4 linked regions of the Rattus norvegicus genome follow. The protein of the gene in region 4 purifies or fractionates together with the protein of the main gene of each other region. This does not show direct contact. Links are inferred from orthologs where the notes say so. Each region holds a gene or a part of one and is shown on either strand. Other genes may lie near its edges.

Region 1 (7,573 bases), on a different chromosome or scaffold from region 4:
AGGTTTTGCTTTCTGAGGGTACTTGGTCCTAGCTTATAAGCTACACTGTTGATGGCGTCAGTATGGCCAAACAGGTCCATGAAAGGTGTGGCTTCTTTGATAAAGTATCCAGTGAATTAACTCAGTGGTTCTACTTGTAGTACACCCGTCATGACTGCTGACAGCTGTTAGCCATGTAAGACTTAACTGTTCATGTCTAGGATATAATTTACACTAACGTGTTTTCTATTTAATCCAGGCTTGTGACACTTGGGCTGTGATCCTCTAGTCCTGACCTCATGGCTGAAAACAACTCATTTCCTAAGAGGGCCTTTTGTATATAACTGATTTTATATTAAAACTTTTCAAACATCTCTGCTCTTGTGTTCTGACGTAGGGTGAAAGAAAAGTCGGAACTTTCCTGGAGGAGATGAAGTCAGATTTATTGTTCATCATCATGTCATACAAAAATCTACAAATAATAGATGTGTACAGGAAAAGAGCCCAAAGGAATAGTAAATGGAGGTGTAACGGCGATAATTTAAACTTGCTTTCCCCCATATATTAGGATGACAGCCATTTCAAAGCATAGTTGTGATGTCAAGGCAGCTTTTGCTCGCCCACCAGAGCTGGCCGTTTAGATTGAGGCCTTCAGTCTCACAGTTCTACTGACTCTTGACAAAGCTTTTGAGGTCCTCAAGAAAGGTGATATATTCCTGGTGCTCCAGGGCTGTGCTGAGCTCCACCAACTCATCTGCAAAAGTGTTATCCACCCCTCGGTCCGCAAGGAAATCCATTAGGTGGTCATACAAGGCCTGCGGAGAGAAACATACTAGCCTGAAAAACAACAGAACAAAACCAAAGTGGTTTGGCAAGGTCCTCTGACCTTCCCATGTGGTCCAGTGCATGTGTGCAAACAACAGTTTTCCCTCCTGTAAGGCTACTTCCTCCCTTCTCTGCAAAAGCCAAGCACCAGCCCCTCTCAGCCAGCACTCACCCAGTCCAGGGAGTCTGTGTTGAGTGTGTAGTTTGTATCCCTCCACTCAGAGTCACCAGTGGTCTGAAAGCTCACTTCCTTAATAGAGAAAATGTCACTCTCGGCCTCATCTTCGTGTCCGATCTGAGAGACAGCAAAGGTAAGTAAGTGAAGTGCCAAGAGGACCTGCAGTTCCAGCCCTGCTCCCACCCCACTCTCACCATCTTCCCCTCTGGTCTAGACTACCAGACCTTTCCCGCGCATGCTACACAGGTCAGGAGACTCCACCCTACCAACCTCGTCCTCAGGATAGTGGCAGTCCAGTACAAGGGTCTTCTTGCCATCAGTCTTTGTAACTTCAACCACAAAATTGGGAGTTGATGTCAGTTCTGGCTGGAGAGACAGGAATAAGTCAGCACATGCCAGTGTTGGTAGGGTGCCCCAGGAAGTTCAGAATGTCCGACAGCCACGCCATTAGGTTATTATTACCCATTTCTTAGCCTTAGGCAGTGGATAAGGCACTCAAATCTTCCAACAGCCCTAAACAGGTTATCAATCACATGGGTTTAGAATGGCATCTCTGCTCCCCCACACTGCTGAAGCACAGACCTAGACCTCCTTCCCCTTTGACTGTTTTGGTACAGGATCAGAGCCTGGAACATAGGGGCTCTAGCTAAGTGGCCACCTTAACAGAAATGGCAGAACCTTCCCTTTACTGTGACCCAAAGGACGGGCCCAGGCAGCGGATAAGGAGTTGGGTACAGGCTAGGATAGAAGCACAACAGGGAACTCCGCTCTTCATGCTTGTCAGTACACAAGACTGCCATCTGCTTAGTCAGATGGCCTGGGGATCCTGTAGCCCCCTCAGTGGTTGGCTCCTAGGCCAGGCACACTATTTCTAAAATGTCTGAATACTATCTAGACCCAGTCACGAGGGCCAGCAACTAAAGGAAAAATCTCAACTGATCAAATGTTAAAAATCTCTTAAGGCTGAGCTGGCAAGGTGGTTCACCGGTGTTTGCTGCCAAAGCCTGATGTTTAACCCTGGAACCCACATGGCAGAAGGATGGAATTGACGTTCCTATAAGTTGCTTTTGACCTCTACAATTGCACGCATAAGCCCCAAACATACAAATAAACACAATTTAAAAAGCCCCGCCCCCGGCCTTCCTATTTTGGTCACATGACTAGTGTTGATTACCCACTTGTCATCTTTCACACTGAAAACACTCCAAACGATAGCTTCTGGATACTAAGTATCCCCACTCCCCAACACTGGCAGGGGTGAGGGCACAGGCCCGTGATAAACCCTAAGCCCTTAGGGGACAACACTCTACAAACATGGTCCATCCACAACTCCAGCTAAAACTCACTCGGAATGACTGCATTACAGGTCTCAGGAGGCTCACCCTTCACCTCACCCTAGCAGGGAGGATTTTAAAAAGAGTGAAAGTGAAACAGTTCTTGCTTTTGGGGACAGAAATCTTGGCTGTCTGCCATGTCACTGCTTACCTCCTGCTCTTCGGCCTTCTGCCCCTGTGAGGGCTCCTCTTCACCATCAAAGGTTGGAGGGATGCTATTGTTAATGTTGAAAGTGACAGTGATCCTAGAAAGGCAGGTAGAGATACACCAAGGTACACATTAACCTAGTGGTAACAGGAGAGCAAGGCCCACTGAAACAATGTCTCCATCCTAGCCACACAGGGAAGTGAAGAGAATTTCATCTGAAGTGTACCTACAAGTTAAATGACTACAGCTGTGGATGAAGCTGCCAGGTTGGTGTCCTGGGGTCTTCCCATGGAAGCTAATGGAGGTGGACAGCCATCTGCCCCGGAAAGCCTCACAGCCACTGCAGAGCAGATTCACTTTGCACAACCACAAACTAGGAACTGAAACACCTAGTGGCTTCTTTCCCTTCTGGGGGGATTCTGGAGCTCAAATAAGTACCCTGCCCATGCTTGGCGGAAGTTCACAGCTGCACCCTGGCCCTTGTGTGACTGTAAGAATTCTTATGTGATGGACAGCACCTGTTCTAAAGTCAGAGACAGTTCCTTTGTCTCAACACCTGGAAAAGAAGTTCCGCTTACACAGATTCAGAGGGCCAACCAACCCAAGAAGAGTGTACTGGGGGCTGCTCCCTGGAGTCCAACTGGGCAATGCCTTGCTGCCACTTTGCCCCCGAAAAAAGAATGGCAAGGTGAACCAAAGGGCATGTACAACCTGCGATAGCCCAGACTAAACCTACTTCTTCCTTCCCTCCCTCCTTCCCTCTCTTATTTTGGTTTTTCAAGACAGGACTTATTTGTGTAGCCTTGGCTGTCTTAGTACTTGCTGGTGGACCAGGCTGGCTTTGAACTTACAGAAATCTACCTGTCTATGCCTCCCAGGGTGATAGAATTAAAGGCGGTGAGCCCCACCGACACTCAGCCTGGCCTTGAACTTTCTAATCTACACACACACACTTACTGCTAAGCTTATAAACCCCCGCACCCCCAATAAAACTTTCTTGTACACTGTGCTCCTGAAGCACTGGGGATGGATCCTGGAGCCTCACACAAGCTAGAGAAGCACTTAAGAGTCCAAGTAGACTTAGCCAAGGAAGACTGTGGGTGAATGGGTAACACGAAACAGCACAGACAAGGGTTTAACGGTTTTAGGGGTGCCAGGTGTGGTGGCGCATGTCTGCAACCTCAGCACACAGGTGTCTGAAGCAGCAGGACCCAGAGTCTGAGCCCAGTCTATGCTACACAGCAGCCACACAGAGACCTTGTCTCAAACCGAATCCCTTGAGGAGAGGAAGAGCTAAGTTTGGCTAAGAACCTTCTCCCTTTGTCTGATGGCCTTTCTACATGGTAACTTCTTCCTGTGACTTAACAGTTACACACGTGCACTTTCAACTATTATAAACACAAGCCAGACGGGAGTTCTAAACAAATGATTTACCAGTACTATTAAACAACAAAACAACAACCCAATGCTTAATCCAGACTGGCACAGCACCCCTCATTAATAACCCAATAACTGCGTTTGCCCCTCCCACAGGCTTCCCTCTACATACTCTGGAGCTGCTTCAGGTCTCCTTAATACAAGCCATAGAAGCTTGTATTCATTCAGTGAATGCACTCCCTGGAACCTAAGAACTTTCCCAAGTTTAATGCTTTCTTAAAGCCATTTTATCAAAGCATTGGGCCTAAGCTCAGGCTCTTCTGGGGATGGTCAGAACAGGATGCTGTAACCAGGAACTTCTGACTTGAGAATCCAGTATACAACCCCTGGGCCAGTACTTACTTTTCTCCGGCAACTTTGCGCAATAATTTAGCCTCCGTGCCGTTCACTTCCAGCTCCCAATCTCCAGACATTTTGGGAAGGGACTTATGCTTCTGGATCTTCTTTTCTTCCTTAATTTCATCAGTCAAAAATTCAACAAAGGCCTTGTCTCCTAAAAGAAAGGCCAAAATGATCAACAGTGAGAAAAGGTAGTTGCTCTAACCGATTGACTCGGACTGCGTGTAATCTATTCTTAAGGCTGTTCTAAGACTGTAGCGTAAATCACGCCTCAAAACGTCCGTTCCTCACTCTATAAAAACACCAGGATATATTTACTGAGCTGAACTGATATTACTTATCATGAGATGGTTATTTCTCATCATGAACTCATTACTATTACTTCCCGTATAAAACAAAAGAATTTCCAACTATCCTCTTCCATGTCCAAAAAGACGTGGACCCAACAACCACACTTTGAAACCACGACCCTACCGACTTTGCTAAGCCACATTTTCAAGACGCGAGAAGGGGAACCTGCGATCATGAGGGCCAGTTCCGAGCTGGATCGCCGCATTCCGACTAGGGTGCGTGAACCTTACCTTCCGTGTGCAGAGCGCCGCAGCCGCACGCGCAGGGAACCGGGGGCTGCAGGAGGCCAGAGCGCCGAGCGGAGCCGGCTCGTACGCTGAGCAAACCGAAGGGCCGGAGGCATGGCCGGGGCGCGGGCTGCAGTAAATGCCGAAGCGGCGGGGCCGGGATGGAGGCTCGGAGGCCCGTGGCGGCGGCACCCAGGGCGCGGGGCACGCAGCGCAGCAGAGGGAGCATCGCGGGGTGGACACGTGCAAAGGGAAGGACGACCGGGCCAAGACACCGTGTGACCTCGCGAGCCGCCGGAAGCCCCGCCCTCGCCCGGGAAGCGCTATCCACGTCGGAGGACTGCAGTACCCGGGCCGGACCGCACCGCGCCCTCTGCTGGGAGCCGCCAGCGCAGCCCGAGAGGCCTTGGCTCAGCTGTATTCTACCCTGGCCATCAAATCTCCCTTGCTGCCCGTTCTCCCCAATTCACCTGCTTTTCTCAACCCAAGCCACACTTTGTTACTTCGTGGAATACGCTCAGGTCTCATCCCAACAAAGATCACTTAGCGGTCTTCTGAAACCGCCTAGTTCTGAAAAGCTCAGACTGACCTGCATGCAGCTGCTGTGGAGTGGGCATCCAGGCCTCACATTAGACCCAGAATCCCAAGAACAGGATGAAGGATTTATGCTGGAAACCTCTGCACCCCCTAACAATTCGTGTACCGGTTTTAATGGACCATCGTTTTTTTTTGGGGGGGGGGGAGCAGGAATAGATGGCTTTCATCATCACATTTAGGTTGAGAATCAGGGATAACAGGCTGGAGACAGGGCTCAGTGGTTAAGAGCACTGTTGCTCTTACAGAGGCCTGGAGTTCTATTGCCAGCATCCACACGCCTTCTCACAACCATCTACCTCCAGTTCCAGGGCAGCAGACACCCTCTTTTGACTTTTACCAACACCATGAACGAACGTAGTGCAGACATGCAGGCAAAACTCTCAAGGACATTAGAAACACACACACACAAAACAAAACCAACAAAATCCAAAACCCAACCCAAGAAACAAAAACAAAATTTAACCAACCGAATTTCACACACACACACACACACACACACACACACACACACACACACACACACACACACCCCAAAAACCCCGCTCATGCTCTCTGGTCCTAGCATCTGGGAGGTAGAGGCAAACAGCCGAGTTTAAGGTCAGCCTGGTTACACAGCATGTTCCAGAACAGCCAGGGTTACATAAAAGACCTCTCAAAACACCAAAAGCAAATGTTGGATACCGAGTCTTACTGAATGAATGGCAATGAAACTACTGTTTAATATTCTAAACAGCATTCTTTAAATAAGGGAAAGGAGGCCCAAAATAAGAGGCCACACAGATCGTATACAAGATTCAGGTTTTTATGGACTTAATAGTCAAAAGTAATTTTTGAGCATTATATACAAGAACTGTTTCTTATGTTTGAGATCAGAGAGATTAGAGTGCAAGTCCAAATCCACTTCTTATTTTTCTACACTACAGCAATCGATATAAAATTGTTTCCTCACAGGTATAGTCTAGCTTATGTGCTCAAGGAATGGCATCTTAGATGCATGGCCACAGTTCCAAACAGGTCCTGGTAGGTAGCTGCAGACAAGGATTGTGTCACAGTAAATATGTTGCTGTGTTTTGGAATTCTGTTACAAGAGAGCAAAGGCTCTCACAGGGGACTGGTAATGAAACTTGTCCCGGGTGTCGTGGCCATGGTTACAGAGAAGATAAACACCGGCAGGACGCAGGGCTGCTAACTGAAGTCCAGCTGCTTGTTGGAGGCTAGTCTGTGCAGACTGGAGTCTTCATGTTGGAGAGTTTGCCAACTGGAAAAGCAGCTTAGGTTGTACTGTAGTAAAATCACCAAACATTTCACTTTCTGAAGGAAGCTTGAAGAGTGCTGTCCCTTCGGCTTAAGACAAGCATTAACTTCTTTGTAGTGATCTGTGGAGTCAGAATGGGGTTCCCACCTGATGTAATCCCTGAGCAACTGTGTTGAAAGGTAATTTTTTAAAAAGCTTAATAAAAAACTAAATACTCTATTAGAATTCTCCCACAATGTTTGGGTGGTAAGCAGATTTCTGTACAGATACGTTAGTTATGTAGAAACGGTATCCTTCACTCCTTTTTCTGGGGAGCCCCAGTCCTCTCTGCAGCAGTCCCTCCAGGTTAAAGTCCTAGGCCTCCTCTGGAGCCAGCCACTGCAATCTACGTTTCCTTTAACCCAGAAAACACCTCTTAAGTTTACTAAGGAACAGAAACTGTCCATTGCTGAGGAATATATTACCTACTCCTTGTTTTCTTTAATTAGCATAATGAGTGCTCTATTAAAAATACAAAAGTTCCTCTTGCCAAGCAAGGTTAAATAAACCTTGCATAAATACAAAAATACACTTAAAAAGAAAACACATTCTGGAGAGCATTTCAGACAGTTGATAATGTGACCATTTTATCAAAGAAATAGTCGCAAGTACTCAGACAACCCTAAGTCCTGGCTAAAAGCTTGACTAACCATGGCTAGGGTTATAATAAAGCCTAGACCAGACTCAACAGACACAGCTGTGGACCAATGAGATCCTGGCAATGGAAGTGCCCAGTCAGGCTACGCTCTCTGGAAAGAGCTTGTTGGACCCAGTGAAGAAAGTGGCCACTGTCTTCGAAGTGCCTTGAAGGTAGTTTGGCCCATTGCTTATAAACAGTACAATTCATTGTATAAATGAGAAAAT
Region 2 (7,808 bases), on a different chromosome or scaffold from region 4:
GTCCAGGAAAGGTGTCACACTGGGCTCCTACTGTCTGACCTGCCATGATTACAGCAAGAGCAATGCTCTGGTTTGGCTTCAGACTAGGGAATCTGGGATTCAGGAGTCAGGTCCACATATAAACTTAAAATAATATGTATATAAATGAGCTTTCTGGATGCATCTACTCTGAAGAGACTACAAGTACAGTAAAAATTCTAAGTACTCCAAAGTTTTACTTTAAGGCTAATGGGGAAGGACCATTGTTCTTAAATGTTTTATTCCTTCTTAGCCATAAATTCTGGGATTAGGGACAAGATCCTAAATTAATGTGAACAGACATCCCCCTCCCACCACCCAGGCTGGAACAACTGAAACCACAGAACACTGGCACTGTACTGACCAAGCTCTGAGCGAAGAAATAACAAAGTTACAGAGAAAATTGAGCAACGGCAGAACATTTACAACATTCTGGTCAATCTCATCTCTGTAAAAGACCTTTGCTTTCAGACAAGGGAAAATATAGTCTCTAACTTGGAGTTGCATCCTGGTCACAGTGCTAAGGTTCTTAGCATTCAGCCAATCTGTTGTTTGTAAATACCGCACAGCAATTCAACCACTTTTGGGGAGCTTGCAGTAGAGTTTAAGCCTGCAGCCTTGTGTGTGTTAGGCAAGGGCCTACCACTGAGCTATAGCCCTAAGGCCCTTTTCCTTCTACTCTGAGACAGGGTCTTTCTCACCACAGCTGCCCAGGCAGCTGCCTCAGCTTCCCTAATAGCTAGGACTGTATACAGCCTGAGGGTTCTAGAAGGCAAGTTTTGTTTATTTCTCCTTTTTGTTTTGCTTTAGACAGAGTCATCTTTTTGTTGTTGGTTTATGTTTACTGAAAATAGAATTTTCTTTCATACAATAATACAACCTACCCACAGTTTCCCTTCCTTCCACTCCTCCTAACTCACCTCCTCACCTCCTGTTTCCTCCAGAACCTCCCTTTAGAAGACACCAGGCCTCCAAAAGACAACAACTAAACACAACAAAACAAGATATAATAAAGTAAGACAAATGCCCTCCCAAAGCTGGACAAGGCAATCCTACAGGGAGGAAAGAGTCCCAAGAACTGGCAAAAGAGTCAGAGACAAAACTGCTCCCACACCAAGCTAACAGCTACAACATGTTTGCAAAGACCCCAGTGCAGACCATGCAGGCTCAGCCTGTGCAGACCATGCAGGCTCAGCCTGTGCAGACCTTGCAGGCCCAGCCTGCACACATCCTGTTTGGTTGATTCAGTGGGCCTTGCTCTGGTATCCTCCACCCCCTGTGACTCCTACAATTTTTCCTCCCACTCTTCCATGAGGTTCCCAGATCTGAGTGGAAAAAGCAGATACAGACCTCAAATTTAGACTCTCTGTCGGTCTCTGTGTAATGTCTGGCTATACAGAGCCTACCTCTGAACAGTCCCTAAACAAACAATTCTGCTAACAGCGCCAAGAATATCCTTTACCATATCACTAATATGACAGATCCAGTGAGGTAACAGTTAAGGCTGTGACAGAGAACCTGAGGTTGTCTTGGTTTTTTTTTTTTTTTTTCTCTTCTTTTCTTTTTTTCCAGAGCTGGGGACTGAACCCAGGGCCTTGTGCTTGCTAGGCAAGCGCTCTACCACTAAGCTAAATCCCCAACCCCAGTTGTCTTGTTTTTAAGTATTAAAGTTGAATGCTATAGAGGGCACTGTGTATTTGGTCACCCAGCTTTGATAATTATTAACTCATAGTTAAGGTCCATCTTGTCTCTTCTTGAACTCCCTCCTTTAAACTAGCTTGTTTTGAAAACAAATCCTAAATCTATCATAATCTTAGTCATTTTGACTTTAACCAGGTCATATCAGGCTGACTGTTAATCTGTCAATGAAATGACATTTCTTGTATACTAGAACTGACTGCGCTTTCTCTTTTTTTTTTTTTTTTTTTTTTTCTTTCTTTTGGGGTCTGGTTTCTTGGCTGACATATGATTAATACACAGCAGGAAAACAGCTGCAGAATTAGCGGACTCCCCTTCTCTAGGAGAATGCCACTTTTCAGCCCAGATTTCAGCCTTACTCCTTAAGGACTGAATCAACAGTTCCTGAACTATTAATGACTAATTGAAAAGCAGACAAATATTGAATGCCTTTGATCCCAGGACTCCTCCAAAGGCAGAGGCAGGGTGACCTCTCTGTCCAAGGCCAGCCTGGTCTACAAAGCAAGTTCCTGGACAGTCAGGGCTATGTTACCCAGAGAAACCCTGGTCTCTAAAAACAAAAAAATCCAAAACAAACAAACAAACAAACAAAGAGAAAAGCCATTACACTCAACAATGGACGCTAGAAACTATTTCCTGACATTACAAAAACACTAGGAAGATGTCAAAAACACAGACACAGCCATGCAATATCAGATGGGTGTGATATAAACATTCTCCACTTATTAAAGAAACTTACTGCCTAAAACAATCTGCCGAGAGGCTGAAGAGATGAGTAGCCCAGGAAAGGCAGCAACCCTCAGAGTCTGTTCCAGGAAATTAGGTAGAGAGCCGTCAAGGAAGACAAGACACCAGAAGTTGACCTCCGGCCTCCATGTAGAAGAGCATTGAGCACAGAAAACACACACTGAATTGCTCTTATAAATCTGCTCCTGTACCAGCTGTGTTTCTTTAAGGAGGAGGACACCTATGACACTAAGCACAGATTTAAAAACAAAAACAAGGGGTTGGGGATTTAGCTCAGTGGTAGAGCGCTTACCTAAGAAGCACAAGGCCCTGGGTTCGGTCCCCAGCTCCGAAAAAAAGAACCAAAAAAAAAAAAAAAAAAAAAGAGTACTTAATCTTACTAAAGAAAAGAGAAAGGCTGAGTCAGAATAAAGAGTCTACTAAAAGTTCACTAGAATGACCAAGACTTCTCCCTCCACACTCCCCAAATGTATTTTTAGTTTTTACTTCAACAAGTAGTGATGTAATTTGCATTTGGTAAGCACAGATCCCTGAAAGACCAAAATCCTAGTTTAAATCTCTTCCAACACTTCCAATTCTCAAGAATTACAGTTACCCAGACTGGGCTACAGAGCAAGTTCCAGGACAGCCTGGGCTGCACAGAGAAACCACATCTCAGAAAAAAACAAACAAGCAAGCAAAAAAACAGAAACAGAATTTCAGCTATAAGCAGTTGAAAATAGTGACCTTTAAAAGGCACACAATACATGGGCAAAATGCAAAAGGGTACAAGATAAAGCTTCAGACCAGCAATACTGCCACAAGGACGGAGGTGCGGCCAGAGTTTAAGGGAAACGGATAGGTACCGGGAGTGAAATCGAAGCTCAGCTAAAGAAAGTGAAGAACTACAGATGTGGACCAAGAAAGCACGGTTTTAGCATCTTTGCATACTCCACCTCCAGAACCTGACACACAAGAGGGCTCCAAAAAGGTCTGCTGAACCCAAGGGGAGCTTATGCCAGCAACTTTCTCATAAAAAGGAATGACAATAACGTTCTGGGTGGTGGCAAGGAAACATGGGACAGGTTGCGGAGCCTACGGGAGCCAGTGAAGTGCCTGAAACTGGTTCTACAGAAAGGATGGCTTTACATCCATAACCTGTCTGCTACAGTGTCCCCATTAAGCGCGCGCCCCTTTCTGGTGCCAAGCAAGCACAATGCCCAGGCACTGGCAGTGGGCACGAGGGATTCTTCTGCCTCGGAGAAAACCCAAATGGGAAGGTAGGTCAACTTCTGTCCAGTCTGAAGCCTAAATTATACTTTCATACCACGTTAATAAATTATGCAAACGGTTTATTGGGACACGGTGTGGGTCTGGCACACTGATAAGCGCTTTACACGCCCCATTTCACTGCAACTTCACAGCCTGAAGAGGCAGGGACGGGGTTGGGACAGGATTAATACTCTTCCCCCTCCTTTTCCCCCTCACAACAGAGACACAAAGAGTACGAAGTGACTTGCTAAGGGGACAGAGCCGGGAATTGGCACCTTATCCCACAGCTCCGCAGTGGCCGCAACACTGTGCACAGCACCGAAACCTGGTGGCCTGCCGACCGGCCCAGCCCCTGCCCGCGACCCCCGCGTTAACTCCCGCACTGGGCCCACGAGCAGCGCGGAGGGCCCGCCTCCTCCGGGAAGGCCCCGCGGGCGGAGATGAGCCTGGGCCGCAGCTCCCGCGCCCTCGAGGCCTAGCCCACCCGCCGCCCACCTCCCGCTGACGCCGTGCCTGCGTGGGTCCTTCCGCTGCTCGGCCCGGCCCGACCCGAGCGCCTTACCTGGCTGCTTCCCCAGAGCTCGTCCCGGGGCCGGCGGTATTGGGCGGCGGCGAGGAAGAAAAGCAAAAGAAGAGGGCGAGGAAAAAAAGACCGGGGGAGGGAAGAGACGGAGTGGCTGCGGAGAAGGCGGGCGCCGCCGGGCCGGGGGTCAGAAGAAGGGGGAGCGCACACAGACGCGACGACAGCCAGCGCAAACGCTGAAGAGTGGCTCGGCGCCTGCAGCCCGGCAGGAAGTGACGGGGGAGGGGCCGCGCCCGCCCCCGGCCCCCGCCCGCCTCCATGCCGGCCCCACCCCCCCCACCGTGGCAGGAACCACAAGTCCCAGCAGGCGCCGCGTCCAGCATGCGCTCTCTAGGCACGTAAGACCAACGGGGGCCAGGCACCGCTGCGTTGAGTCCAAGGTGTACTGGGAGTTGTAGTTTCCCAGGAGCTCCGGTTCGGCAGGGAAAGCAGGCCTAACTTCCTTTCTTGTCCAGGCTTTATGTTTCCTTCCTGCGTTCACTCCTTCTTCCTATACTAACATTTGTTAACCTGCTGCTGTGTACAAGGTCAGAAACTGAAAATACAGTGAGAATGCACAAGTCCCGGCCCTCATGGAGTTTACATTCTACTGGGGAAAGCACAGTAAATGAAGTCTGATTCTGTTTTAAGACAAGCACCAAGTACTTTCTGGTTGCTTTCACGGAGCTCTAAACTGAGTGTGCTTCTGTGGACAAGAGGCTGGTGTTGGTTTCTTTGATGTGGTCCTGGAGATTGAAGCAAACTTCTAGCACTGAGCTCCATCTCCCACTCATGATGTAACTTTTCTATTCGCCCTCTTGGGTTTTCTTAATTTTCTTGCGCGCGTGTGCGTGTATGTGTGAGTGTGCATGGTATGTATGAGCGTGTGAGTTCAGGTGTCCACTGAGTCCAGTGCTGTCACTTCCTGCCTGGTGCAGGAGTTATAGGCAGTTGTGAGACAGGTCCTCTTCAAGAATAATAACTGCTCTTAACTGATAGCCATCTCTCCAGCCCTGTAACAGCCCTCTTATGGGAGGCAGGGGAGAGAGGTCTTTAGTACTAGAAAGATGGGATCCTTGTCAGAGGTTATGGGATCCTCTGCGGCTTATTTTAAGTGATGCCTGTGATTGAAGCACCTAGGTAGACATCATAGCTAGATACCCAAGGCTCTAGGTTCCATCTCTACCCCAAAAGTACACACACACACACACACACACACACACACACACACACAGAAAAAACCCTAGCCAGGTGGTAGTGGCACAGACATTTTAATCTCAGCCCTTGGAGAGGCAGAGAGAGGTGGATCTCTTGAGTTCCAAAACAGCCAGGGCTACAGACAGAAACTCTGTCTCAAAAAAACAAAAAATTAAATAAATAAATAAATAAATAAATAGTTTGCCTAACAACTCAGTCTCCTTGCCACAGCACTGTGGCTGACTTTGCATGAATTCACAATGCTATCTGCTGTAGCTAGAGAGACCCTCCTCTGACTTACCCAGATCTTGGGAGACTCTTTTATCCCAATCAGGTCTCCTTAGTTTGCTTCTTGTAAAATTCAGTGACATTGAGTTCCAGTACCAAAACCAGCCCAACCTTCTGGTTCCCAACCAACCCTGTGCTAAGTAGGCCACATAAAAATATGTAGGTTCATACTGTACATCTACAATGTACTTACAAATAATAAAAAAACGTTAAAAAAAAATAGGGGGTTGGGGATTTAGCTCAGTGGTAGAGCTCTTGCCTAGCAAGTGCAAGGCCCTGGGTTCGGTCCCCAGCTCCGAAAAAAAGAAAAAAAAAAAAAAAAGGCAGTTCAGGGCAGTGCAGATGCCCACTGGGTAAAATGTGCATATTTTACACACAAAATAATAAATTTTGGTGGGTTTTTGTTTATTTGGGGGAGGGGTTGGGTTTTGTTTTTTGTTTTTTGTTTTTTTTTGAAACGGGGTCTTATTATTTAGCTCTGGCTGCCCTCAAATTCAGAGAGATCCGAATACCTCTGCCTCCTGGGTGCTGGAATTAAAGGTAGGTGCCTCTACAGCCATTAAAATAACTAACTCCGGGTTGGGGATTTGGCTCAGTGGTAGAGCGCTTACCTAGGAAGCGCAAGGTCCTGGTGTTCGGTTCCCCAGCCCCGGAAAAAAAAAAAAGAACTAACTGTTCTAGATGATCCTCCTGCCTCGGTCTCTCAACCGCTAGGATTACAGTGCCTAACTAATGTCCAAAGTATTCCTCACATAAAAACAAACCCAGTCTGGACATGTCAGCACACACCTTTAATCCCAACCCTAGAGAGGCAGAGCAGAGCAGATCTCTGAGTACAAAGCCATTCTGGTCTACAGAACAAGTTTCAGGCTCAGCCAGGGCTACACAGTGAGAGCCAGTAACAAAATTACAACAACAATAACCAAAAAAAAAAAAAAAAAAGTGTGTGGACCTTGGAAGAAAATCGGTAGTCTCTAAATACAGAAGAAAACAAACTTGTGGGCTGGAGAGATGGCTCAGTGGTTAAGAGCAATGACTGCTATTCCAGAGGTCCTGAGTTCAAATCCCAGCAACCACATGGTGGCTCACAACCATCTGTAGTGGGATCTGATGCCCTCTTCTTGTGTGTCTGAAGACAGCTACAGTGTGCTTATGTATAATAAATAAATAAATCTTTAAAAAAAAAAGAAAACAAACTTGCTGGAAAGCACTGTATTGCCAGGGAAATATTAGTGATTCCCCCCCAAACAGACAGGGGCCAATCTGATGCAATCACAATAGGGTCTTTTTATTTTATTTGAGCTAGCTCAGGCCCCTCAGCGCACCACCGCCATGCAGGATGGTTTTGGTGGTGAGGAGCCCCAAATATCTATCAGGGCTTTAGAGTAAGCAGCAAGTGGGGTGGGGGGTAGGGATAGGGGTGTGTGAGTGTGCAAGTATCTAATTGGAGAGTTACTACGGCCTTTAACATCATTGGCTGGTGCTGGGAGTCATATCATAAACATAGTTTCTGTTTCCCTCTGCATTGGTGGTCATTAGGCAAGGGGTGGGCTTGTAACCTGGGGTGTGGATCTGTTGGGGTAATAACCTGGAGATGCTGGTCTTGTTGAAGGTGTAACCTGGAGACACAGGTCTTGTTGGGGGTGTAACCTGCAGATGCTGGTCTTGTTGGGGGTGAACCTAGAGACTGGCGTGAGGCTATGGTTTCGTTGATGGGAAACTTGGAAACTAACGCTAGGAACCAGCCTGTTGGTTTACCTGAAGTCAAGTTCTCTAAAATGGGGTCTGAATTTGAAAGATTTGGCCTCGGGGTTGGGGATTTAGCTCAGTGGTAGAGCGCTTGCCTAGGAAGCGCAAGGCCCTGGGTTCGGTCCCCAGCTCCAGAAAAAAAAGAACCAAAAAAAAAAAAAAAAAAGAAAGAAAGATTTGGCCTCTCAGCACCAGGCATTCCCAGGGCTGGATCAAGCCAATTCCTTGGTTCAGGCTATTCTCAAAGAGCACAGTATTACATCTTCAGGTTGTCCTGAGTTTGTAGTATTTTCTTGTT
Region 3 (7,859 bases), on a different chromosome or scaffold from region 4:
CTGCTTCTGACTTAAGAGATTTATCAGTTGCTGCCTTCGCAGTGCTAGGATTAGAGGTGCGCTACCATGCCTGGCTCATTTAAAACTACGTGTATCTGTGTGTCTGTGCATGTGAACATGTGGGTGCCCCTTTGGTCCAGAAACATTAAATCCCTAGAGGGAAAATTACAGGTTGTTATGACCCACATCTACCATGGGTGTTGGAAACCATACTTGGGTTCTCTGAAGAATAGCGGAGCCATCTCTCCAGTCTTGCTTTTCTTTATGAGATAAATACTCAGGTATGTTTGTTTTGTGTGAGTGTCACAGGACAGTTTGCGAGTATTAGTTCTCTCCTTGTATCAGTGATGGTCCTGGTTGTCATGCTTGGTGGATAGATGCCTTAAATCTGAGCAGTCTTGTTGACTCTAAGGCTAAGTTATCCTGGTTCGGGATCCTGGGTGAGAATGAACCAAAGACATTAACATGTAGCTACTTCCTCCCAGAGGAAACATTCAACAAGGGGGACAGCAGGTCTAAACAGGTACAATACTCAACAGGCTCCTCCCCAAGGCTACCTGAGCTCAGGCACTTTCCGTGGAGTTGGCAGGGCTGTGCAGAACTCCGGTGCTAGCTTTCCTGACAACCTCATGCTGGGGGAGGCCCTTCATGACACAGCTGCTTACGACAGGCAAGCCATGTCTCTGTAAGGAACATCACACGTGCCACTCTGCGTCAGCACAATAAGCTCCCCGTTCATCAGGGCAGACTGTACAATCACTCCTTTGGTCTATGGTTCCTGCCCTACCTAGGGTGAACACATTTGCCTAGCTGTCCAGAAAAATCAGACAACAAAGACAACGAACTTGTTATTGGGGACTGAAGTTACTTCTACCTCTTCTTTTTCTCATAAGACTTAAAAAAAAAAAAAAAAAAAAGAAAAAAGCTTACTGGGTTTTAATAGAAGGTCCTGGTTTGATTAACATGATCCTTTATGGTTAAAAAAAGGACTCGATCACAGTTACATGTACAGTTTAAAGAAATCGCATATAAATGTTCCTTGTTACCTGCAAGAACCACGCTTAGAGATGTTTAAGACGGTCCCTGTGATAGTTCGGTTAATCTCTTTGGACAGATTCTTTGCCAGAAGGTTTACAGATACTGGAACTCTAAAAAAACAGAGGCATCAAAACACTGGAGACACACAGAAAATCCCATACCATTAAAGTCTGGTCACTGCAAATAAACTCACTTCTTCCTCTGATAGAAATGCCTTCCTATGTGTGTGGGCAAATGCCGTCGGATTCGTTCATCAGCAATAAAGACATCAAAGCTACCCAGGAGGCGGAGCTTGGCTTCATAGGCTTTATATTCTGTTTTTAACGTCTTAAAGGGGATAATCTAGAATACAAAAACAAGCGAAACACCATAAAGCATTAAGATCTAAAACAGGAGGAGAAATACTTAACACTTCTCTTCACACCAGTCCCAGGGCTATGCATGCCTCTCTCAGATTAATGAATTCCTAAGCAGCTAAAATATGCTGGAGGCCTTGCAAAACGCCGGAAGACCCTGAGAAGAGAACAATCAAGGAGCCTGGATAAAAACCCAGCATGTCAGCCAGGCACTGAAGGAGATGACATAACTGTTCTTGACTATCTCAGGTTGAAGAATACTAACTCTGAGGGTAAGGGCAGCCGAGGCAATTGATCAAAATGCTATCTCAAACGTAATAAAATGAGCTACAGAGATAGCTTAGTGGTTAAAAGCACTGGCTGCTCTTACAGAGGACATGGGTTTGATTCCAACACCCACACAGTAGCTTGTGGCCATGTGTACCTCTCCAGGTGCAGGGAATCCAAGACTCTATTCTGGTCTACATGGGTAATTGTATGCACAAGGTGCACAGATACATGTAGACAAAACACCCAGACACTTGTTTAAAAAGCACGGGTGTTAGGGTGGGGTGGCAGCACCTGGTGTAGAGGTGTACATCTTATATCCTAGCATGAAGGAAATTGAGTTGGAGGCCAACCTGGTCTACACTGCAAGTTTGGGGTAGCATGTGCATGGTTTTGGAATCAATTCCTAGTACCAGGAGAAAGATAAAGAAACAGAGTACAAAGATAAACAAATAGTCACAAAACAGAGCCAGATGTGATGCTCTACAAGTACACGAAAAGTTGGGTTTTTAAACAATCTGGTATCATAGATGGCTCAGTACTTCGGAGCTCTGACTATATTAGAGAACCCAGAGAAACAAAACAACCTTCTACAACTCCAGCTGCAGGGAACCCCATCCTCCTGGAGGCAGTGTGCTCAAGACACTGAAAAAGATGTGAAATCTGACATGCATTTAGGTTTTCAGTTACAAATCAAAATAGTGCCTTTAGCAAAAGCAAAAGGAAATAGAGCCAACCAAAAGCAGAGACGGTAAGATTAAAAAGAGAAAGGAGGGATGGCTCAGTGGTTAAGAGCACTGACTGCTCTTCCTGAAGACCTGAGTTCAAATCCCAGCAACCACATGGTGGCTCACAACCATCTGTAATGGAATCCAATGCCCTCTTCTGGTGTGTCTGAAGTGTACAGTGTACTCATATATAATAAATAAATCTTAAAAAAAAAAAAGAGAGGGCTGGAGAGGTGGCTCAGAGGTTAAGAGCACTGACTGCTCTTCCATAGGTCCTGAGTTCAATTCCCAGCAACCACATGGTGGCTCACAACCATCCTTCTTCCCGTGTGTCTGAAGACAGCTACAGTGTATTCATATAAATAAAATAAATCTTAAAAAAAGAGAGAGAGAGAGAGAGAGAGAAAGGGGAGCTGGAGAGACGGCTTGGCAGGATTTGATGCTCCCTTGAAGGACCGGGGTTTTATTTCCAAGCACCCATGAGGCAGCTCTCACCACCTGTAATTCCAGCTCCAGGGAATCTCAATACCTTTTCTGGCCCTGGAGGACACCTGCATCCATGTGGTGCACACACACGTTAGGAATACACATTCATACCCATAAAGGGATAAGTTAAAATTACAGAGAAAGGGGGTTGGGGATTTAGCTCAGTGGTAGAGCGCTTGCCTAGGAAGCACAAGGCCCTGGGTTCGATCCCCAGCTCCGAAAAAAAAGAACCAAAAAAAAAAAAAAAAAAAAAATTACAGAGAAAGTGGACCTAAAGGACCATAAATTATAGCAGTGTATGATACTTCATTTCTAAAGTCTCTGAAAGGACTTTAACACATCAGCACACCTCCTACCTGAGAGATAGTGTTTACTCCATGCTTTTTCAAAAGCTTTTTATAGAAACCCTCTGTCTGTTCAGGTGAATCACATTCATCTTTGGTAAACAGACAGACTTCTGAGGATTCTGAGAGGATGCTATGAGGCAAAGACCTACAAAACATGACAAACAAGGAGCAAAGTGTTATTCCAGAACATGTTTATCCTCACTGAGAGCTAACGAGAACATTCAATACATACAGGCAGGCCAGATGAATCAGTGGGTGAAAACACATGCTCAATGCCATGCCCAACAACCAGAGCTCAAACTCCAGGACCAACATGGAGGGAGAGAAATGATACTGATTCACTCCCATATGTGTGCACCTAACCCTCCAGACAGATAGACAAACACACGAACAGAAATAAATGCAGTTTAAAAATATTTTAATTTATCTATTTTCATGGCATCCCTGGCTATCTTGGGACTATCTCTGAAGACAAGGCTGACTTCCAGCTAAAGAGATCTCCCTGCCTCTGTCACTTCTGGCTCTAAAAAGAAAACAATGGGCTAGAGAGACCAAATGCAGGAATCCACACATTCAGTAGTTAAGAGCATTTGCTTCTTTCCCAGGAAATCTGATTTCTGTCGCCTGTACCCACACTGGGCTGCTCATGACCTCTTGTTTCTGCAGTCCCAGGTGATCTGACACCCTCTTTTGGCTTCTGCAAGCACTGGACACATGTGGCCCACATTCTTATACTCAGACACACTCTGAGTGAGTTTTAACTTTAACCCCAGCACTCAAGAGGGAGAGGCATATATATTACTGTGAGTTTGGAGCCAGGCAAGCCTTAGTAACAACCAAACCAGCGGAAAAACAAATGAAACAAAACAATGAAACAAACAGATAAATTACTTACACTCTGATCCTAAGTTCTTTCTTTGGAATTTTCCATAGTATCACCATTAAAAACAGATTTTCACTCCCATTCAACAGCAATTCATTATTTTTTCTGGACTTGGAGTTATCAAACAGAACTTCTACTGCCTTTCTTATCTGCAGAGACAGAAAAATCGATTAATTTCCTCAATCTATGTTAATTGCTTCCATACAGATATATTTGTTTCCTTTGCTCCTTTGGGGGGCTAAGGTTTCAAGAGAGGACTTTTCTGTATATCTTTGACTGTCCTGGAATATAGTTCAGGCTGGCATCCTACTGAAAAGATTCGCCTGCCTGTCTCCGGAGGGCTGGGATTAAAGGCATGTACCGCTACGCCTGGCGCTCCTCTTTCTATTAAGCAAATTCCATCAGCTTATTAGGATCTTACAATTTGTACCCAGTGCAACTTAAGAATGCATTTAAAACATCTAAGTACCTTGGATCTGTTTACAAGTTGTCTTTTCTACGTAAGAGAAAAAGCTATTCAGAAGCTTCTCCTGCCCTCTACGGGAAAGGAAACGATCAGGAAAAGCGAATAGTGCTAGGAGCATTTATTGTGCGTCATGTGCTCAGGGCTGCTAAAAACACTTTGTGCACGTACATATGACCCGTAATGCTGCAGGACGGAGCGCAGAAGCCCACTTTCAACAGGAGGCAAACAGGCCGTAAGTGTGGGAAAAGCGAGACTGCTGGGGTGCGTTTTCAGAGGCCTGCCTCGAGCTCCTGGAAGCCAACGCAGTCGTGGGCCCACTTGATTTCCTGGCCTCTTGCCCCACACCCTGCACCACCCTGCTTCCGACTCGTTGTCCCCGAAAGCCACTCGCCTGCTCTCTGTCCAGCTGTTCAAGAGCGGTCGGTTCCGCTTGCACCTCGGTGGTGGTCGCCGTAGCGGCCGAGGCATCGGGAGACTCGGACGCTAAGCACTTCATGCCGCCTCGTGTGGAATTCAGGAGTCAGAATGCCTGCGCACGCGAAGCCCCCAAACCCGGAACCGGAAGGCAGAGGGTGGGACTGCAGGAGACCAGTGGTGTCATTTCCGGTAAGGCAGCGTAATTAGATGCTGTGGCTGTCCTCGGAACTAGTTGTTGAGGACTGAAGCGGTGCCTAGAGTATTCCAGTGGAAAAGTCTCCCTTGCGTCCGGCTCTTTCTGAGGCTCCAGGCCTCGCAAACCCTGTCGCTCCTCTCCGGAGAACACTGAGAGAGCGCCCTAAGGAGAGGCCAGAGCCCTGTCTTCGATCCCGTGCAGTCTTCCGAAGAGCGGGAAGCCGTGGCTTCCCACCTTGTTGTGACTTCAGGCGTCGGTTTCCCCAAATTGGTGGTGTTCCCATGAAATAAAGAGGAACCGCCAACACTAGGCGCGTGATGCTGCGCGAGAAACGAAAAAATGAGTCGGTCTTTCAGGAGTTTCGGCCCAGGTAAGACCCTAAGTGAGTATGAAGGGATAACTCGTAGAATACTGTCAGAACGTTTTAAGAGTGGTTAGTTACCAAGCATACCCACTGTGCTGGTTTCGCGTAATACAGTGTATTTGAGGTTGTTCTCAGTCAGTACAAGGCGCTCAGAGTGGTACCACCAGTTTTTATTTTCGTTTGGTTCGAGACAGGGTCTCTACTATGGCAGTTCTGGCTGTTCTGGAATTCTCTGTGTATACCAGTCTGACCTCGAACTCACTGAGATCCTCCTGCTTCAGGTTGCAGAGTGCTAGGATTAAAAGCATCTACCAATACTCCCCCACTTAAGTCAGGATTTTCCTATATAGCCAGGATTACCTAAGTGAGCCTCCTTCCCTACCTCTCACAAGCTAGATTTACAATGGTGAGCAAATCCCTATCCTCCAACTTGTACCCGCACAGAGACATAATTTATTTAGGAACTTTTACGTGGATGTTAAGGATAGTGACAGGCCCCCCTCAGCTAGCTGTGTGGGAATAAAATGTTCTCTCTCCATTGTCAGTTTTCCAAAAGTGCTCCTTGAAAAATCATACTCTGCTAGTGTCTGCTGAGGACTTTGTCTTAATTTAACTTGTAGAATGCACTTTTAGAAAAGTCATTGGCACCTGCTTCTACTTGTCTCTTTGAGAATCTGGTATAGGACGGACTTTTAGCATATTGCAATGAGTTGGGCTTGAGGCATGCAGTCTTCCTGACATACTCCAAAGAGCATTAGTGGTCTTAGATGTTCTCTTACCTGTATTCAAGTTTGAGAACCAGACTTTTTTGGTTTTTGAAGACAGAATTTCTCTGTGAACAGCCTTGGCTGTCCAGGATCTCTCCTTGTAGGCCAGGCTGGTCTTAAACTCATAGAAATCTGCCTGCCTCTGTTGCCCAGGTGCTGGGATTAGACTTTTTTGTTGCTGTTGTTGTTGGTTTGTTCCAAGAGATTTATTATTTTTATTTTATGTGTGGATGTTTTACTTGCATGTATGTCTGTGCACCACATGTGAGCAGTGCTGGTGGAGGCCAGAAGAGAGTCTTAGATCATCCTAGAACTGGAATTACAGATGGTTAGAAACCACCACGTGGATGCTAAGAGTCAAAACTGTAGTCTTTTGGGAGAGCAAGCAGTACTCAAGTCCCAAGCACCAGACTTTTGGGCCAAGGAAATTACACAAATTCAGATGGTAGATCCTGGAGGCGTTTGGAAACAATAAGTGACTAGAGCCAAAGAATTGCAAAAGAGATGGATATGAGGCTATTAAAACTGACAAAGGAACTAGTTATCAAACTGCAGTTACACGTGAAAGAAAAAGTACTAGTAGCAAAGGAAAAGTGATGAATTACACCTTTAGTGTAGTTGGTAAAGTTGGTCTGGCTGTGGTATTGCAAGAAGAAAGATCTAGAACTCTTTGGTAATCTTACTTTCAAGTAATGGGGCTTCAACATACACACCCCACATTTTCACCGTGAGCTGATAGTGACTTGGTTCTTCCTACTAGTGTATTGGAAACATAAGATGTCAAACATGGCCTGAGCGGCCTTTTACAGAGGGATTGCCGTGACTTCTAAGCCATGCTTGGCTGCAGAGCAGTACTCTCACCCCAGTGTCAGTTCTGACGTTAGTGTGATTACTATCATGCATGTAAGTTTTGTCTTTACAACTCCCTCTCATTCACTCATTTGTAAGGTGGCCCTAGAGAGAGGGAAGCCAGACGAGACGATATGCTGTGAGGCTACTTTGTCAACCAGCTAGCCACCACATGCATGAAGGTGGGAGCAAAGCCTTCTCTGCAGACACGAGAGACTCCAAGTCAGAAGCAGCCAGCTATGCTGCTCCAGCTTTCTCATAAACACTGAAGAAGCCTTTGTTAATTTTAGCTACCAAAGGGGGTGATTTGTTCTCTATCAATTGGTGTTTGATAGAAATTTATAGTCCTCCCATGTACATATTCAACTGTGTAATCAATATTTGCATTTTTGTATCTCACATTTACCAAGATTTACCATGAACTCATATGATCCCCTCAACTTGCTTCCCATGTATTTCCTTTCTCGGTATTGAGTACTTCTAAGACAAATTGAATTATTTTTAAGTCTTTTCTCCTCATCCCTCAATTTGATGAATAGTAGTTTGCAATGTGGATTTGGTGGCTCACATCCCTAACACCAGGGCTTCGAATTATAGAATTAGGAATTTCAAAGTAAGCCTTAGATACCTGGCATGTTTAAGGCCAGTCTAAGCTACATGAAACCATCTACAAACAAAACTGTGGAGATACATGG
Region 4 (7,113 bases):
AAGAGGAAAATGAACCAACTTGGACATCTAATTAGTATGGCATCAGTCAAGATTCAAACATAGGCCTTCCAAAGTCAGTGAGGATGGAAACCAGACTCATTGTGTATGGATGTTTGATTCTCCTTTCCAAGAGAGCAGCATCCTGACTAGGGAGGACTAGGATAGGAAGAAGAGACTATAGCCCAAGCTGATGCTTGTGAAAAAAGGGCCACCTACAGCAAGAAATGCACATGTAGAAGGGGTGAGACGGGCACCCTGGGTCTGTCCTCTTGGTCATCAGATAAATACTGAACACCCTAAGACTTACTTACCTAAAATCACCTAGGACCCTTCTCTTCGCCATCCTTCAACAGCAGGCAAGAGACCCCAAAATATGACACACTTCAAGTTGAGAAGGCACCCACAACACCCTCCTCCAGCATTTGAATGTACTTACTTTGACCACCATAGGGAGTTCCACCATAAAAACAGGCTACTGAGAGCTTTTTGGTGATGTCACTGAAGTCTTTGCTCACTTGATTTGCTAATTCTCTTGTAGGTGCAAGGACTAGCACCTGGAAGAGAAGCACAGGATTTCTAAGTACTGCGTCGTAACTGTCTCTCAGCCACTGCAGAATTCACAATGCTCGACTCATCCAACCATCTTGCTAAATACGGAAAAAAGTCACCATGTGCTGTGTGGTAAATCTCATACTACATGCCAGGAGCGAATACCGTCTTCCCCCAGGCAGTGTTTTAAGACCTGTGAGCACAGCAATCAGAAGTAGGTGTGTACATGCCACTGCTCCAGAGACTAGTGCAGAACCGCCAAGAAAAGAACCCAGAGGAGCTACACCCAACATTAGCTGTCATTTTTCCCTGATGCCTTAGGCGACTCAAAGTACTTTCTATTTTTTATTCAGAATTAATGCTCAACAACCTTTGAGGCAGAAATTAAAGAGGAAATGCTGGAGTCCAAGGACCCACTGGAGACCACGCTTGGACTCCAACCACAGCAGGCAGGCTCTTTACTCACTGGGCACATCTGGGTAACAGCAGAAACAATGACAGAACCAGGTGTGGGAGGACAAACCTTTACACTGCCAGCACGAGAGGCAGAGGCAAGCTGGTCTCTGTGAGCTAAGTACCAGCCAAGTCTAGAGACCATGACAAAATAAACAAATACCCAGGACCCCGTCTGTGAGCACTGAGAACCTCCAACACTTTAAAGGAAATATGAACATTAGTAAGTATGGATGACTGCAGCCATGCGGCACATTACAGGACAATGACAGACTTGATGGCCAGCCGTCTGAAAGACTCGCCCCAGTCTACTCAGATACACAGGGTGAGACAAGGACCTCGGAGGTTCTGGGAGCTGTCCCTGAGCCTGTGATGCACTGTGACAGTTACCTGAGGGGCTCGGCCTCTCTTCCTCTCTTGCAGCCCACCTTGAAGTTTCTCAATCAAAGGGATGGCAAAGGAGAAGGTCTTCCCGGTTCCTGTGCGTGCCTGGGCGATTAAGTCCTTCCCACTGTACACATGGTGGAATGTCTTGGCTTGTATAGGGAAGAGGAAGTTCACCCCACGAGCTGCGAACGAATGATTGTGTTACCTTTGTTTTATTTTCAGCCTTAGGGATCAAATCTTGAGGCTTTGTTAAAATAACAACCCCAGGGCTGGGGATTTAGCTCAGTGGTAGAGTGCTTACCTAGGAAGCGCAAGGCCCTGGGTTCGGTCCCCAGTTCCGAAAAAAAGAACCAAAAAAAAAAAACAACCCCAACTGAAACACAGTCATTTTTGTGGTCCTGCAGAATTAGGGGATTCTACCTTATTTATTTATTTATTTATTTACTTAGTGTATATGAGTACACTGTAGCTGTCTTCAGACACACCAGAAGAGGGCATCGGACCCCATTACAGATGGTTGTGAGCCACCATGTGGTTGCTGGGAATTGAACTCAGGACCTCTGGAAGAGCAGTCAGTGCTCTTAACCACTGAGCCATCTCTCCAGCCCGTTTCTACCTTTTCACAAACATCTACCTATGAAGTCTCAGCGTCAATATATTCCTAGTAGAAGTCTTCCTAGAAGAATCCACTAGACTGGAAATTATTTCTAATAACTTTTTGATTGTAACTTAAATAGTGTGGTTGTCACTTTTGATCAAATCTCACCCACAAGCTCACCTGAACTTTAAAAACGGAGTCTATGTTCAACACCACGCTGTGCTGGGGAGAGCATCTGAACTACTCAGTAGAACAGACAGAGCAAAGGACCCGACACCCTGAGAGGCTAACCTCAGGTGCAAGAGGAGATATGGGCAATTAGGATTCTACCTTATTTATTTATTTGGTGTGCAGAGGTCACACACACACACACACACACACACACACACACACAGAAGAGGGGGGGAGGGGAGAGATAAAGGGGGGAGAGGAAAGGAGGGAGGGCAGGTGCCAGTCACCACACTTGTGAATGACCCCAGACAGCACAACCCCAGAGGTAATGCACAGGTCTCCTCCACTGTAGCATAGGTGCCGGCAGGAAGAAGCAAGGTCTCCGTGCACTGTTAGAGAGAGTCATGATGCTCCGGACCTCACCTTTGAGAAGTTTGACAGTCTCTTCTGATATGGGAAAATTAGAGAAGGCTCCTTCTTTCTGCTCCACGGGTATTTCCTATCAAAGCAAAAGACCACAGAAATCAGCAATTCACATACCAGTAAATGCAGAAAGCCCTCTGGAGAAACAGAAAAGCCATTTTCAAACAGCTCTGGAACAAAGACACTTGCTGTCTAAACCTGAAGAACTCAGTTTGACCAGCAGAACCCACAGAGAACAGACTCTACAAGTTGTCTAACACACACACACACACCCACACACACCATGGTACGTGCATCAGCCTTCCACAAAAACTGAGCATTAAAAGATTTATTTAGGGCTGGAGAGATGGCTCAGAGGTTAAGAGCACTGACTGCTCTTCCACAGGTCCTGAGTTCAAATCCCAGCAACCACATGGTGGCTCACAACCATCTGTAATGGGATCAGATGCCCTCTTCTGGTGTGTCTAAAGAGAGCAACAGTGTACTTGCATACATAAAAATAAATAAAGACATTTTAAAAGATTTATTTAGGGCTGGAGAGATGGCTCCATGGTTAAGAGCACTGACTGCTCTTCCAGAGGTCCTGAGTTCAATTCCCAGCAACCACATGGTGGCTCATGACCATCTATAAATGAGATCTGGTGCCCTCTTCTGGCCTGCAGGCATACATGCAGGCAGAATGCTATATACATAATAAATACATCTTTGAAAAATTTATTTACTTATTGTACATATGTAGGTATACTGTCCCTGTCTTAAAACACACCAGAAGAGGGCATCAGATCCCATTACAGATGGTTGTGAGCCACCATGTGGTTGTTGGGAAATGAACTCAGGACCTCTGGAAGAGCAGTCAGTGCTCTTAACCACTGAGCCATCTCTCCAGCCCCTGAATGTCTTTTTTTTTTTTTTTTGGTTCTTTTTTTCGGAGCTGGGGACCGAACCCAGGGCCTTGTGCTTCCTAGGTAAGCGCTCTACCACTGAGCTAAATCCCCAACCCCCCCTGAATGTCTTTTAAAAGGAGAAAAAAAGCTCACCTAAACACCTCAGTTGACAAACCAATCAGTAGAGGCAGGTAGATGGCTTAGTGAGTAAAAGCCCTGACTAACCTGACAAGACACCAGAGTTCAACCTTCAGACCCCTCAGTTTCCTCCAACGTCCAGATACACAACTGTGTGTTCTCTTGTGCTGTACTGTGAGTCCAAGGCCAGTCTGGAAATATATACAGTAAGACCCTGTCTCAACCTGCCTTGATACCTAATAAAGAAGCCTGGGTGTGCCTTTATTTTTAGCATTTGAGATACAAAATGAGATCTCATTAAGGAAAACAAAAAACAAGACAAAATGGGGTTGCGGATTTAGCTCAGTGGTAGAGCGCTTGCCTAGCAAGCACAAGGCCCTGGGTTCGGTCCCCAGCTCTGAAAAAAAGAAAAGGAAAAAAAAGAAAAAAAAAACAAGACAAAACAAAAACCCAGTAAGCTCGGTAGTGGTGGCCAACTACTTTGATCCAGCACTTGGGCAAACCAGAATTCCAGGCTAGCCTAGTGTACAGAGTGAGTTCCAGAACAGCTAAGGTTACAGAGAAACCCTCACAGGGAAGTGATAAAAAAGGGTATTTAAAAAAATGGGGACCTGAGAGATCAATCTTGATTAAGAATGTACTTACACAGCTAAGTGTGGTGGCACATGCATTTAATTGCAACACTCCCTGAGGAGATGGCTCTCTGTGAGTTACAGGCCAACCTGGTCTACATAATGATTCCTAAACAACCAGGGCTATGTACAGTGGCTCTGTCTCAAAAACCAAACCAAAAGAGAGGATGGGGTTCAATTCCATGCGCAACTCCAGAGGCTGCTGACTCACAGGCAACGGAAGTACACATATGTGATATAGACGCAGGCAAACGATATACACAAGACGTACACATATAAAAATCAACTTGAGAGAGAGAAAGAGAGAAAGAGAGAAAGAGAGAAAGAGAGAGAGAGAGAGAGAGAGAGAGAGAGAGAGAGAGAGAGAGAGAGACAGACAGACGCTCAAGTGTTTGGAGATGTGGCTCAGCAGTAAAGCACTTGTTCTTGCAGAGGTCTAGGTTTGACCCCCAGAATGCACATGGAGGTTCACAACCATCCATAACTCCCGTTTCAGCAGACCCAAAGGGCACCAGGTACAAACAAGGCACACAAATACACATCCAAGTAAAACACCCAAACACACAAAAATAATAAAATAAACCTAGAAAAAATATTAAGCCCAGTGCTCGCGCGCAGGCCCCACAGTGAGAAGGAACGCAGTCCTGCACACACAGGCAGGCTCACCTTTTCTGTCTCGCTTTCCTCTCCGGGAGCTTGGGTGGAGCTGGAGTCTGGCTTGGGATGGGAGAGCCCATTCTTCAGCCCGGGGCTCTTCTCTCCCACATCTCCGTTTGCTTCCTTCCCTTTCTTTGTCTTTTTGGGCTTAGGAGCGTCTGCCTCTTCCTCAGAAGGCTCCTCGGCTTTCATTTCTTTGGTTTTAGCAGAGGGTGCTTTCTTCTCTAGGGGCTCCTTTTTCTTCTTGGAGGTTTTGCTTTTAGAAGCAGGGTCATCTTGAGGCTCCTCCTCCTGCTTCTTGGCCTTCTTGGATTTAGGGGGACCCACATCATCCTCAGAAGGCCCTTTCTTTTTAACTGCTTTCACTTTGGAGGAAGCGGCCTCTTCCACTCCTTCTGTTGCCTCGTCAGTCTTAGATTTTGGCTTCTCTTTTCTAGTTTTCTAAAAATTTATAAAAGACACAGCAAAAACCGCAATAATGAATAAAGCTGCTATACTGTATAAGGCCCATCAATTCTGGATTACCACAGGACTACTTACAGTTGTGAAAAACACAGCTTTAGGCATTTCAACGCTGTAGAAGTTAAAAATCAACCCTGATGTTATACACGTACAGTGTGTGTGTGTGTGTGTGCAATCACTTTAAAAGGAGACCATGGATTTGAAATGGAGCAAAGTGGAAATTACATGGAAGGGAGGGAGGGAGGGAGGGAGGGAGGGAGGGGGAGTGATGATGTAATTAGAATCACAACGTTAGAGAGACAAGGTGTGGCTCTGGCGATCCTGGGCCACTCTGCAGGCCAGGCTGCTGTTGAACTCATGGAGATCTGACTGCCTCTGCCTCCTAAGATTAAAGTCATATGCTATTGCACCTGGCTTAATGTAATTTTAATTAAAAAATAAGTCTCACAATATGCTTTTAATACCACTTCTTAGATAAGTGGAAATAAGTATATACCAATAGTCATTAGCATGGGGGAATAAAAGAGTTCTTCAAACTAAGTCAGGTTTTATCAGCCAACCATTATAAAACTAATTTTTTTAGAGAGATTCCCAAGGCTCTAAACTACATACTCCAAAAAATGGTTCAGGAGGCAAAATTCTTACTGTGCCATCATGAGGGGTTGACAGGAAGCTCTAGCACCCACAGGGAAAAAAATGGGTATGATAGCACATGCTTGTCACCCCAGCTGGTGGGGGTGGAGTAGGGAGCTAGCCAGACTAGGTGAATCAAAGGGCTCCAGATTCGGAGAGAAACCTTGTCACTCCATGCTGGGGAAGGGTCGATACACACCTTTAATCCCAGCACTCAGGAGTTTGAGGCCAGCCTGGTCTACAGAATTCGTTCCAGAGTGACCAGGGTTATGCAGGTTAGGGTCTTGGTGAGGTGGGGTAGCTAACACTGCCCTCTAACTAGCTGTATGGGCAAGCACATCCATCCCCATACAGGAGCACACACTGTAACAGTGAACAAGCACTGCCCAAAGGTTTGTGTGTCCTCAGATAATTGCAAAAGCAGTTTTCTTTTCCCTCCTAAATTTCTATATGGTTATTTTGTCTTTTTTTTTTTTTTTTCCGGAGCTGAGGACCGAACCCAGGGCCTTGTGCTTGCTAGGCAAGTGCTCTACCACTGAGCTAAATCCCCAACCCCTCTATATGGTAAACACGCAAGAAGTTTGTACTTCACTGTGAATTCACATAGACACTATATGAAACAAACAAAAAACTTCATCCAATCTACCATTCTCACATGTGAAACTTTATTTAAAAGTACAACTCTTCATGTCGTGGAAAACTTGTAGTGATTACTAGCCACCTAGTAGTGCCCCAGACAATAAGCATAGGACCAAATCGCAATGGACTAACTAAGTTCTCACATAATAGCCTAAGGCAGTCTTTCTTTCTCAACTTTCCAAATAGTTCATATTTTAGTGACCCCCCAGCCATAAAATTATCTCGTTGTTACTTCAAAGTTTGCTACCGTTATGAATCATAATGTAAATCTAATATGCAGAATATCTGACAGGGTGAGAACCGCTGGGCTAAGGGATAGAGCTGCCACTCAGTGGCCCAGCACCTGCCAACACGTGAGCAGCCCAAGATTTGGTTCCTGGTACTATAAAACACATCTTAAAAATAATGGATCATGGACAATCTCTACGCCCTGTGAACATCTATCTGTTACATATGTGAAAAATATTAAGTCGAGTTTGGAACATAA

Evidence for each region.
Region 1: the proteins of Ddx21 (region 4) and C1qbp purify together in Homo sapiens (co-immunoprecipitation; 3 studies listed by BioGRID and IntAct, with this or other methods). This does not show direct contact. The link is inferred for Rattus norvegicus from reciprocal best matches to the Homo sapiens genes DDX21 and C1QBP.
Region 2: the proteins of Ddx21 (region 4) and Stau1 purify together in Homo sapiens (affinity purification with mass spectrometry; 4 studies listed by BioGRID and IntAct, with this or other methods). This does not show direct contact. The link is inferred for Rattus norvegicus from reciprocal best matches to the Homo sapiens genes DDX21 and STAU1.
Region 3: the proteins of Ddx21 (region 4) and Rsl1d1 purify together in Homo sapiens (affinity purification with mass spectrometry; 3 studies listed by BioGRID and IntAct, with this or other methods). This does not show direct contact. The link is inferred for Rattus norvegicus from reciprocal best matches to the Homo sapiens genes DDX21 and RSL1D1.

What each region holds. Positions count from the first base shown.
Region 1 is NC_086028.1:56,198,138-56,205,710, forward strand, and holds C1qbp (complement component 1 Q subcomponent-binding protein, mitochondrial precursor), read right to left. Parts: upstream 5,049-7,573; 5' UTR 5,048-5,048; coding exon 4,822-5,047; intron 4,395-4,821; coding exon 4,244-4,394; intron 2,562-4,243; coding exon 2,468-2,561; intron 1,349-2,467; coding exon 1,253-1,348; intron 1,100-1,252; coding exon 977-1,099; intron 795-976; coding exon 645-794; 3' UTR 397-644; downstream 1-396. Other genes in the region: Rpain (RPA-interacting protein), read left to right, coding at 239-268.
Region 2 is NC_086021.1:176,140,492-176,148,299, forward strand, and holds the start of Stau1 (double-stranded RNA-binding protein Staufen homolog 1), read right to left. Parts: upstream 4,457-7,808; 5' UTR 4,277-4,456; intron 1-4,276. UniProt on the Homo sapiens protein: Binds double-stranded RNA (regardless of the sequence) and tubulin.
Region 3 is NC_086028.1:4,929,098-4,936,956, reverse strand, and holds the start of Rsl1d1 (ribosomal L1 domain-containing protein 1), read right to left. Parts: upstream 5,119-7,859; 5' UTR 5,068-5,118; coding exon 4,963-5,067; intron 4,255-4,962; coding exon 4,118-4,254; intron 3,368-4,117; coding exon 3,232-3,367; intron 1,381-3,231; coding exon 1,232-1,380; intron 1,149-1,231; coding exon 1,047-1,148; intron 1-1,046. UniProt on the Homo sapiens protein: Regulates cellular senescence through inhibition of PTEN translation. Acts as a pro-apoptotic regulator in response to DNA damage.
Region 4 is NC_086038.1:31,089,435-31,096,547, forward strand, and holds part of Ddx21 (nucleolar RNA helicase 2), read right to left. Parts: intron 5,334-7,113; coding exon 4,902-5,333; intron 2,658-4,901; coding exon 2,582-2,657; intron 1,572-2,581; coding exon 1,393-1,571; intron 555-1,392; coding exon 437-554; intron 1-436.